3 linked regions of the Stegostoma tigrinum genome follow. The protein of the gene in region 2 purifies or fractionates together with the protein of the main gene of each other region. This does not show direct contact. Links are inferred from orthologs where the notes say so. Each region holds a gene or a part of one and is shown on either strand. Other genes may lie near its edges.

The links. Proteins that work in one complex are often made in the same cells at the same time.
Region 1: the proteins of morf4l1 (region 2) and epc2 purify together in Homo sapiens (affinity purification with mass spectrometry; 5 studies listed by BioGRID and IntAct, counting the BioPlex papers as one, with this or other methods). This does not show direct contact. The link is inferred for Stegostoma tigrinum from reciprocal best matches to the Homo sapiens genes MORF4L1 and EPC2.
Region 3: the proteins of morf4l1 (region 2) and actl6a purify together in Homo sapiens (affinity purification with mass spectrometry; 6 studies listed by BioGRID and IntAct, with this or other methods). This does not show direct contact. The link is inferred for Stegostoma tigrinum from reciprocal best matches to the Homo sapiens genes MORF4L1 and ACTL6A.

Annotation. Positions count from the first base shown.
Region 1 is NC_081360.1:83,954,830-83,958,581, forward strand, and holds the start of epc2 (enhancer of polycomb homolog 2), read left to right. Parts: upstream 1-1,230; 5' UTR 1,231-1,345; coding exon 1,346-1,474; intron 1,475-1,615; coding exon 1,616-1,789; exon of another isoform or gene 1,790-1,855; intron 1,856-3,752. UniProt on the Homo sapiens protein: May play a role in transcription or DNA repair.
Region 2 is NC_081386.1:32,983,949-32,987,700, reverse strand, and holds the start of morf4l1 (mortality factor 4-like protein 1), read left to right. Parts: upstream 1-1,045; 5' UTR 1,046-1,188; coding exon 1,189-1,228; intron 1,229-3,752. UniProt on the Homo sapiens protein: Component of the NuA4 histone acetyltransferase (HAT) complex which is involved in transcriptional activation of select genes principally by acetylation of nucleosomal histones H4 and H2A.
Region 3 is NC_081367.1:36,939,425-36,943,176, forward strand, and holds the start of actl6a (actin-like protein 6A), read left to right. Parts: upstream 1-976; 5' UTR 977-1,116; coding exon 1,117-1,141; intron 1,142-3,752.

The DNA.
Region 1 (3,752 bases), on a different chromosome or scaffold from region 2:
GAGAAATAATCAAACTAGACACAGATTGTTGTCATCACCATGGTTTACAAATGAAACACGCTTTATTACCCTTAAAAAAAAGATATTTCAGCACTTGCCTAAAAGGCATTTTAAAAGAGCAAGGCTAGCAACATTTGAAAATATCTTAGGACAGTTACAAGGAATGTGATGGATAACATACGCATTTAATGAAATGGAGCCATATGCATATTTTTTCAAAGGGGATGGATAAATTGAGAAGAGCTTAGAAAGACAATAGCCTGACATCACATGATTATGTAACAATTTCAAAGCATGGAATTACAAGGTGTAGAGCTGGATGAACACAGCAGGGCAAGCAGCATCAGACGAACAGCTACGCTAACATTTCTAGACCTGAAATGACAGCCTTCCTGCTTCTCTGATGCTGCTTGCCCTGCTGTGTTCATCCACGTCTACACCTTGTTATCTCAGATTCTCCAGCTCTTATTACTTCTTCAAATCATGGAACTTGGGTTTCACCAGCTGGGTAAATATTTATTGAAATTTCTTTTGTCCTTGAAGGTGGTGGTGAGCTGCCTTCTTGAAAGGCCCCAATCTATTTGGCATCAGTCCACAGACAATGTTGTTAGGGAGGGAGCTCCAGGACTTGTCCCAGTGGCACTGAAGGAACATAGATACATTTACGACTGGCGAGTGGCTTGGAAGGAAAATTGCAAGACGTGCTGTCCCCATGCATCAGCTGTCCTTATCCATCTAGATGGTAGTGATTGCTTGTTTAGAAGGCCCTGTCCAAGAAGCTACAGTGAATTTCCACAGTGCAACTGGCAGACGGTGCATGTCACCGCCACTTGCCTTCGGTGGTGTAGGGAATGAAAGTTTGTTGGATGCTAGTGCCAATCAAGCCTGCTGTCCACCCCACACAGGCAAGACGACTCACGTAAGGGAACACTTGACAAGGGGATGCCCGACAGAATGCAGGTCTTAGGTTTAAAGGGCAGAAAGCCCAGGCTGCTCACCCCTGGGTTGTCGAGTGTCACGGGGCACTCGACCGCTCAAGCTGAATCGGAAAGGGGGACTGGAACAAAAAAAAGTGGGCGTTGGAGGAAGGCATATAGAAAACAAGGTGATCTAATCCAGGTGTACGAGCTCCTCCGCAAAGCGGACCCCAAATGCAACATAAATTGAGCAGACCAGCTCCGGCACAGGACAGGGTTATGATGGTGCGCGCGCAACCCCTCCCCCCACGTTGTGGGAGGCGCGCGCGGCTCCTTGGGATTGCTGCTTTAATGTCCGCCATGTTTGCCGTGGCGCATGTCGCGGACCGACGGCCAAATTTCGGTTTCTCGGGCTCGGCTCGGTCGGCATGAGGGGCATTTCAAGGAGCGCCCTATCCACCCAGGGGACGGACTCCTTAACTCGCATCCATGAGCGGCTCTGGGCGTCCGGCCGCCCAATTAAGACTGGTCTAAAACGCCATCTTTGTGCCAGTGAGGTCCGCTCCTTTTCGCTGCGCGGTGTCTGCTGTAGTAACCCCACGGCGATAACTGGGGGGGGTGGGGGGGGAGGGGGTGTGCGGGGAGGGGAGGGATTTTTTTTCTTTGTCGGAAAATTTTCTTTTATATAAAAAAAACAGGAATCCTCTCCCGCGCACACCATGAGTAAACTGTCGTTCCGAGCGCGGGCGCTAGACGCCACCAAGCCGCTCCCCATTTACCGGGCGAAGGATCTGCCGGACCTCCAGGATTGCGTCTCCATCAATAGGGCCGTGCCGCAGATGCCGACCGGGATGGAGAAAGAAGAGGAGTCGGTGAGTGAGAGGGGAGGGAGGATGGTTGGTGGGGGGGCCGGGGGGCGGGGAGAGAGGGAGAAACGGCGGCCGCTGGCGTTTTACTCACTGCGCAAGCCACGGCTCCCGCCGCCATTGTTATCCTTTGCAGCCAGGGGACGTTTTGGCGCGGAGATTTGAAATCCCGGAATCGTTTTTTTTCAAAAACAAACGTGTTGACATACACATTACTTTCGGGCGAAAAAAGTTCTTGTTTAACTTGACACGGAACTGAGACATCGAACTTTTTTTTGCCGAACCTATGGCACGATAACCATCCTCCTGCAGACTGTTGCTTTTGATGGTTTTTGTCCGTTTATTTTAAATAGTCCTGCCCCTTGCCCCGTCTGATTGGCTGGAGCCCCTGACAATCTCATTTACCGGGTAGAATTCGGCCGCTGATTGGATGCCGGCGATGACGTGCCGCTCGGCGGGTAAACACCGAAGCCCATGCGTCGGCAGCTTGTTGACAGTTCGCGTCGTAGAGTTACTTCTCTGGGAGAGTGGAGGCTGAAATTTTATTTAACCAAAAAACTAAATGACCCTAGATCTTGAGGCGACTCAGATGTTTCGCCCCTGTTGGAGGCCGGTTTGGCAGCAACCTGTGCTATTTGTGATACCCGATTATACTTAACATTTAATGCAAATAACTAGAATTTAATGGTACTTTTGTGGAAGTCATTTTCAGTGTCCTAACACGGATTGAGAGATTAATATGTGGCAATGAATGGCGATGTTTCTGCACTAAAGCTGACTACACTAACCAAGGAAAAAAATTTTGAAACGTATGGGATTATTTTTGCTGTTAAATTCTTCCCTACGCTAATTGCTTTGTGTAATGCAGTCAGATGAAACATGACAATAAATGCAACGTACAAAATACAGATTGGCTGATTAGTATTCTAGTGCAAATGGTAAGGCAGATGTTCACATGAGAGATGATGGGAACAGCAGATGCTGGAAAATCCGAGATAACAAAGTATGGAGCTGGAAGAACACAGCAGGCCAAGCAACATCCTAGGAACACAAAAGCTGATGTTTCGGGCCTAAACCTGATTACCCTGCAGTTTAATCTGGTTTCATTTATGTGCTAATTTAAACCCTACCTATTTTGCAAGGAATTATCAGATCAAAGCAGGAGATGCGATCAGGCCAATCTATTAATTTGAGACCTAGAAAGACTAAACTTGGCCCACTGACAACTTTTTCCAAAAGATTTGGGTCTGGTCAAGTCGAGAACTGTTTTAAGTACTCCTCTGTTCCACCTGCATAGATGCCCATGTGGTGCAGAATATGCTGCCTCACTGCCAATGAAATTAGGAAAATGCTTTCTCCTGTATATTTTCTGAATTTGTGTCACTTGAATGCTGGAGCCAAGGTCAGTACCAAATGTTTAGGTTTACTGCAATCAGTTCTGGTCTCCCTGCTTTAGAAAAGATGTTGTTGAACTTGAAAGGGTGCAGAAAGGATTTACAAGGATGTTGCTGGGACTCGTGTGTTTGAGGAATAGGGACAGGCTGAACAGGCAGGGGGTATTTTCCCCTTAGAGCATCAGAGGTTGAGGGGTGACGTTATAAAGGTTTGTAAAACCATGAGGGGCATGAATAGGGTGAATAGATTAGATTCCCTACAGTGTGGAAACAGGCCCTTCGGCCCAACAAGTCCACATCGCCCCTTGAAGCATCCCACCCAGACTCATTCCCCTATAACCCACACACGCCTGAACACTATGGACAATTTAGCATGGCCAATCCACCTAGCCCGCACATCTTTGGACTGTGGGAGGAAACCGGAGCACCTGGAGGAAACCCACGCAGACATGGGGAGAACGTGCAAACTCCACACAGACAGTCACCAGAGGCTGGAATCGGACTTGGGTCTCTGGTGCTGTGAGGCTGCAGTGCTAACCACTGAGCCGCTGTGCCGCCCCACCACTGAGCTACCG
Region 2 (3,752 bases):
GCTCCTGCAACTTGCTTCTCTGGGACACTGCAGCAGGCCTAGGATAGAAATGTGCACAAGAGAGCAAGAACGTAAATTGAAATGGCAAGCAACTTGCAGATCAAGGGTCATTCCTACACATAGTGTAAGGTACACCACAAAACAATCACCCAGTTTGCGTTTAGTTTTTCTGATGTGAAGGAAACTGTATTGTGAATAGAGGAGATTGAAAAATGTATCGCTAAATCTTTGCATCTCCAGGATGATGAGTTTGGGATCTGGGGGACTGAGATGATGAAAAGGTAAATGTTACACCTTCTGGTATTGCATAGCCATGTGTGTGGTGTATAGTGAAGAGGCTTCTCTTGTTCACTTGGTCCATCTGAGTCTCCTCTTCCTTGGCATTTTCATTTCTATTTCAGGGGTAGATTGACCACCAATATCCATCACACCCACAGTTACTTGACTAACCTCCTCATGCCCTGCTTCTTCTAAAGAGTCTATTCCATTCTTAGATTCTGCAACTCTGTCACTCTGTTCCAACTTCTGGGGGTGCAGGCTCTGAAGTGCCTTCCTTTTTCCTCAACAGAGGAATTCCACACCCCACAATTTAGTTGACAAGGCCGCAAGCTGTGTTGAACCCAATGTCCCACACTTCTACTCTCACCCAGAACAGTGACAGAGTACAGAAACATACAGAGCAGTAATTGCTGGAGAAACTTGATTGCTGTTTTTCTGTTTTGTTTTGTCCTGGTGAACTTGCTGTCAGAAATGCAGAAGCACCCTTCAACTCAACTCCCTCGACTCAAAACTTTGACTCTTTTTCTCTTTTCACAGATGCTGTCAAACCTGCTGAGTTAACCCAGTATAATAAAACAAAGAGCTGTGAGGTCTGAAGGTCGGAAATACAAACAAGAACACCAATTCACGTCTTAAACTTCCTCTAGCACGCTCCCTGTATGCCAATTTCAAACTACAACTCCCAGAGCCCCACCGGACAGCCGCGCGTGCGCAATGAGAGCACCTTGGCCGGGGCGTGACGTGTTTCGACGACGGGTCACGTCGCCCCGATGACGACCCGCCCCCCTCCAACCCGGTACGTCGTGTTGCTCGGCGCCCGTGCGAGAGCAGACCGGGCCGCGATTATGGTGCGGGGACAGAGGGGCAGCACAGGCGCTCGGATTTAGCACGGAGAGACGGTTTGACTTGATGGCTCCGAAACCGGACCCTAGACCCAAATTTCAGGAAGGTGAGCCCCCCGCGGGGATACGGCGATTGGGAGGAGGCGGAGGGGAAAAATGGCGCCGGGGCCCGGCTCCTTCCCTTCCCCCACCCACTCCTCAGTGCGCATGCTTGGAGGGCAGCCTCCCTTGGTACGAGGGGCTTTGCAGGCGCCTCAATGGAGATTTTGCAGCTGGTTAGACTGCTAGATGTAAGCACATTGTACTCGTTCCTTACCCTTTGTACACTTATTTGTGCAGAGTATAATCGCGCAGAATGTTTCCTCCGCCAATTTGCATGTATGTGTGTTGTTTCCCCGTAATCCTCTTCCTCTCCTTATTCCCACCTACACCACCGCACCCCCCCAACGTTTTCAGCGAAAGTCAGATTTGTGCCATTTTTGTCTTTGGTTTCAATGGAGCAAGTTTACATTTGTGCTGACAACTTTGCAACGACTTGCTCTATGTGCAGAATGCAACGAACCATTTATTGCAATGCACTTTCCAAGGGGTTGTCAAAGGAATTGCTTCATTGGCCGTGCCCTTTTCCACATCCGTGAGGAGGAGGTATGTAAGTTAGTCTGGCTAAACGTGCTTAACGTTGCTTTATTTGCTGAAACCGTCTATTTCTTCTTGTGGCAAAAGAGACTTTGCACCTTTCTATCTTTGCTTCGACCATGGTTTCTCCCTGGAAGGAAATCTGGAATTCGAGGACTTCTACGTATTTAGTGAAACTGTCCTACCTTACTCGTGACCTGATTAAAATATAAGCAAGAAGACATAAAATTATACTCTTGTGTTGTATGACTGCCAGATGGGAAGTGGTTGTAAGGCAATATACAAGTCTGGATTGTGTTTCTACTTTACACCACTTGTGTCTGCATTGGCAAATACAGACATAAGATTGAAAAAAAGGTAAACTTTGGAATTACGTAGCAAGCTCATTAGCAGCTGCAAAGATAGCTTCATATTTTGGGTGTAGACTCTTTGTCAGAACTGTTCTGACACGGAGTCTCCATCTGAAACAGCCTGTATTTCTTTTTTTTCAGGTGCTGGTGAATTTGCTGTCTAGGTAAAACAGAATATGCTGGAATCATTCAGCATCTGTGGAGAGAGGTAGGTAGGGCTGATGCATCAGGTTCATCTTTTTTAATCACATCTTAACATTATTTGGTTTTAGCTGTTTACAACTAAATGTGTAGTAGTTTGGATTGTACGCGAGTCAAGTACATAAAGGCAGAGGGAAAACTGAAGTATAATAGAACTACCACTCCAGAAGGGTAACATTGTGATTGGTTTATGAGAAGTTGTTAGAACTGCATGCATAGGAATTTTTATTGAGGGAAGGAGTTGCCGTGAAGAAAAATGGGACAAGAAAATGAGAGGTTGAAATGGGCCAGTTATATTGATGTAGATTCCTCACTGGCTTAACAGCCATTGCTTTGCTTTTGAAGTGTGGTTACTATTGTCATTGGCTACCATGTTTTCCTAAATGAGTGCGGGACCAGAAGTTGGCAGAGCATGTTGACAAAGTGGTTTTAAACATAATTGGGATGCTGGACATTGTAAAAATGAATATGTAGTGTATAAAAACAAGTTATGATTATTTTTTATGCAATACTGATTTAGTTTCAGTTTGTCTGTTATTTGGCTCAGTGTCAAACTCTGCAAAGGATGGGATGGCATTAATGAGGGTGTAGAAATAATTCATGTGGATGGTTCCAAGGATGAAAGATTTCACCTGTATTGATAGTGTGGAAGATAGGACTATTCTTGTAGAATAAAAAATTAGGTGGAGATTTGATAGAGGTGCTCAAAATCGAGTTGTTTTTTCTTTATTCATTCATGGGATGAGGGTGTCACTGGCTAGGCAGCATTTATTGCCCAAAGGGTGGTTGAGACTCAGCCACATTGCTGTGGGTCTGGAGTCACATGTAGACCAGATCCGGTAAGGATGGCAGTTTCCTTCCCTAAAGGACATTAGTAAAAATTTTCCAACAATCGACAATGGATTCATGGTCCCCATTAGACTCTTAATTTCAGATTTTTAAAAAATTGAATTCAAATTCCACCATCTGTCATGGCGGGATTGGAGCATGTACCCAGAACATTATCTGGGTCTCGCAGTTAACTGTCCAGTGATAATACCATTAGGCCATTACCTCCCCATTTCAGGAGAGAGAAACTGTTCACATTGGCAGAAAAAAATCAGAGGGCACCAATATAAGGTGAGTAGCAAAAAGAATCTAAGATGACATAAATATATCTCTTTCATGTGTGCTAAGGAATTGGAATGAACTACCTGAGAGAGTGTAAAGATTGGATTCAGTTTTAATTCTCAAAGGGAGTTGTAATGGACAAGAAGACAAGAAAGACAAAAACTACTTCAATGAACAGAACTTGTCGGTCTCAGTGGTGCAGAAGGATTTGGGGGTTTGAATGGTAGATGAATTGCAGAAGGGTGTGCTAGTATAGCAGATGAAGCCATATGTGGAGTACTCTGCCTGATTTTGAGAAAACATATACTTGCTTCAGAAGTGGTTCAGAAAAGGT
Region 3 (3,752 bases), on a different chromosome or scaffold from region 2:
CACTTAGCTTTGGGTATTGTTCAGGAAGGAAATATTGGCCTTGAAAGTAATTTGGCACAGATTCATGAGAATGATATCTTGGCAGACAGTGCTAAGTTATTAGGAGACATTCCATATACCCGTTTTCACAGAGCAGAAATGTGAGGCGTGATCTCTTTGAGGTGATTAAAACTTTGAATTTGATGGGATAGATTGAAACAATTCTTCCGTCAGCTGGGAAAGTGAAAGTATCATCTAAATGTTTGATCCAAATTTCAAGGGATGATAAGAAGTATTTTTTCACAAGATATTTGGATTTGTCACCAAAAGGCAAAGGATGTTGAGACACTTGGAGCTTACAAAGTTGAAATTGATACTTATTTTAATTAATTGGTAGATAATTAACTACAAGGATTATGGAGTGAGTGGTCGGCAGATAAAGTTAAACTATCTGACGAAGGGTCACTGGGCTTGAAATGTTAATCTCTTCACATATGCTGCCAGACTTGTTGAGTTTCTCCAGCAATTTCTGTGATTGTTTCAGAACTTCAACAATTTCAGTTCTTTATTTTACTAGAAATAAATTATAGGTCAGTTGCGATCTAAATGAATGCTGGCGCGATTTCAATGGTCTATTTTCACCCGCAAAATGAAGGTTAAATTGAGGATACTCTTCTCAAACACTTCTGCAGTATTATCTTGGGCCTACAACGAATGCCGTAAGACAACATTTCTTCTTGCAAGTAAGACTCAATTTTATTTGACTTCTGGGTAGGACGGACCTCAACATTCACACCACGAACTTTCGTGTATATTTTTCCCCTCCCGAAACAAATTTGTTAGCTGGTTCCATCTGAAAACCACTCTATTGTCCTTCCAAGCCGCTCCAGTCTATTGGTTATTGATATTTGATTGACGTAGGATGTGGGCGGGATATCTATTTCTATTGGTTGCGATGACAGTCAGCGACGTGTGTCCCCACCCTGTTCGGCTCTGGATTGGTTGGGATCGGCCATTAGTTGCTCTTTGTTGGCCCAGAGCGGGTTTTCGGTCTGGAGCCGGCGTTGGGAGGGCAGAGGCCTTCGTGGATCATAATCATAATCATCAGCGACAGTCTCTCAGCGGCTTGGAGCGGACATGAGCGGCGGGGTGTACGGTGGAGGTGAGTGAGCAACAGCGGGGCCCTGCGTACGGTGCTGTAGCCCCAGCTTGAGGGGTAGTGGCGCATGCGGGAGCGGGAAGGGCAGCGTGAGGTTGGAGGCAGTTAGGCTCGAAGACCGAGATTTCCAGGCGTTTCATCTCTGACTGCAGCGTCTGCACTTCTTGCTAGTTCATCTCGTGGACTGGCTCCCCTTTAGTCACTGCTTCATTCATTTCTCACTCACATTGCTTTGTCTTAAAAACTTCTCCTTACTTCATATAAACAGGCCCAGATGCAAAACTTTTGATTTTAGGTTGCAGACGGCAAACTCAGTCTGACCCTAGTATTGCTAGCCTTTTCTGTATTTCTGAGATGAAGGTTTAGGATTAAGGTTGGACGATATGACGAACGCGAAAGGAATGGCAAATGTTTAAAGTTGGGACTGTCTTGACAAATTAAAATTGAGTTCTTGTGCGTGTCGTATCTTGGATTTAAGTTGCGCTTAGGAAATTACATTTTAAAGGGTATGTAAACATAACAAGTTACACAATCATTGATTCTAACTAGGTCGTGCATAGTGTAGTTGTGCCAGCTTAAAAAATCTAATTGAGATTTTGTCTCATCTGAAAATAGAAGTGGGTCTTTGAGACCCTTGGGCGTGCTGTGACATTCTAGATGGTGCTGATCATCTTATCTCAATGCCATGTTGTCTCTAGAAATCTATCAGTCTTTCTCTTGACTTTAATCAATGACAAGGCTTTCACAGCCTTTGAGAGAGGTTTCCAAAGATTTGCTACCCTCTGAACAAAGATATTTCTCCTTGTCTCAGTCTTAAATGGCTTGCCTTTTGTGAGACAGTGTCTCCCGGTTCTAGTTCCCACAGCCATTGCAAACCTCTACTCTGTTCTTGTTATAAATTTTATAAGTTTCAAGAAATTGCACCTTTATTCCCCTCAACTCCAGAGAACACAAGCTCAACCTCTTGAGAGCAATCCCAACGTCGTGGGAATTGTTTGATTAAAGCTACTACTCAATGCCCTCCATTCGTGCAATCGTAGAATCCCTACAGTGTGGAAGCCGGCTGTTTGGCCCATTGAGTTCACCCTGACGTCTGAAGAGCACCCACCCCCATGCCCCCTCCCTGTAATTCTGCATTTCCCATGGCTAATCCAGTTAGCCTACTCATTCCTGGACACTATGGATGATGTAGCATGGCCAATCCACCTAATGTTCACATGCTTGCACTGTGGGAGGAAACCCTTGCAGACGGTGGGAGAATTTGCAGGCTTCACACAGATAGTCGTCTAAGGCTAGAATTGAAGCTGGGTCCCTGGCACTGAGGCAGCAGTGCTAACCATTGAGCTGCCCCATTATCATAGACAATGAATTTATTTCTTTTGATTGAAAAGTTATTTTTTACTGTATTAATGCATTTTAATTGATTTCTCAGTCACAATATTTCTTGCCATCAGTTCCATTCAGTTTGTTTCTAATGCTGCTTTTTAAATAAGTGGAGAGCATGAAAGACCATTCCAAGAATTGTTATTTCATCTACCTCCGTATCCGGAAACTGCTTTTGGGGCTGCAGCTTATTCTTCAGAGAATCACAGATGCCATTTCTTGTTTTTCAATTCTGTGTCATAGCATTGCTGTCAGAGGAGGAACAAAAAGCATCATAAACATGTTTGAATTTGGCTGTTTTAACTATAAGGTGGATTCAGGTAGATAATGCAGTTGATGTGTGGCCTACAAGCAAGCCTTTTGGCAACATCTGAAATCGCAGGCTGAGTAAACAAAATAAATGCCAGTGGCATCTAGTGGAATGTAACCAATTGGATGCAAAATTTGCTCACAGGCAGGAAATGAAGGGTAATAGTTGCACAATTACCTGTCAACAGGAAGACTGTTATAGGCATTCTTCTAGGCTCAATATAATGCCCCTGATTTTTTGAGTATGTGTACTTAAATGATTTGAATGTAAATGTAGGAAACATGATCAAAAATTTGTGACGAGACAACAATTGTGGTTGATCACAAGGAGGATACCTAGACTGCAGAAAGATGTCAGTGGACCCCATTGCCTTTTAGCCCAGTTGGGTAGAAAAGTAGCAAATAGTATTCAACGTAGAGAAGTGTGAGATGATACATTTTTAGGAGGTCAAGCAAAGCAAAAGATAGCCATTGGGCGAATGTTGAGAGGTGCAGGGGAAGTGAAAGATTTTAGAGTATATGTTCATGTATGTCTGAAAGATGCAGTACACGTTGATCAAGTGGTAAATAAGCCATGTGAAATCCTTGTCTGTATTAGCCAAAGTTAAGAATATAAGAGCCAGGGAGGTTATGATGGAACTGTACCAAAAGTTGGTTAGGGCACAACTTAAGTAATATGCGATAACAAAGTGTAGAGCTGAATGAACACAGCGGACCAAGCAGCATCAGAGGAGCAGGAAAGCTGACGCTTCAGTCCTATGCCGGGTCTAGGCCCAAAACGTCAGCTTTCTTGCTCCTCTGATACTGCTTGGCTTGCTGTGTTCATCCCATTCTATACCTTTTTATCTCAGATTCTCCAGCATCTGCAGTTCCTACCATCTCTTATGTAGTGTGCGGTTCTGGTCAATGGATTGCAGCAAGA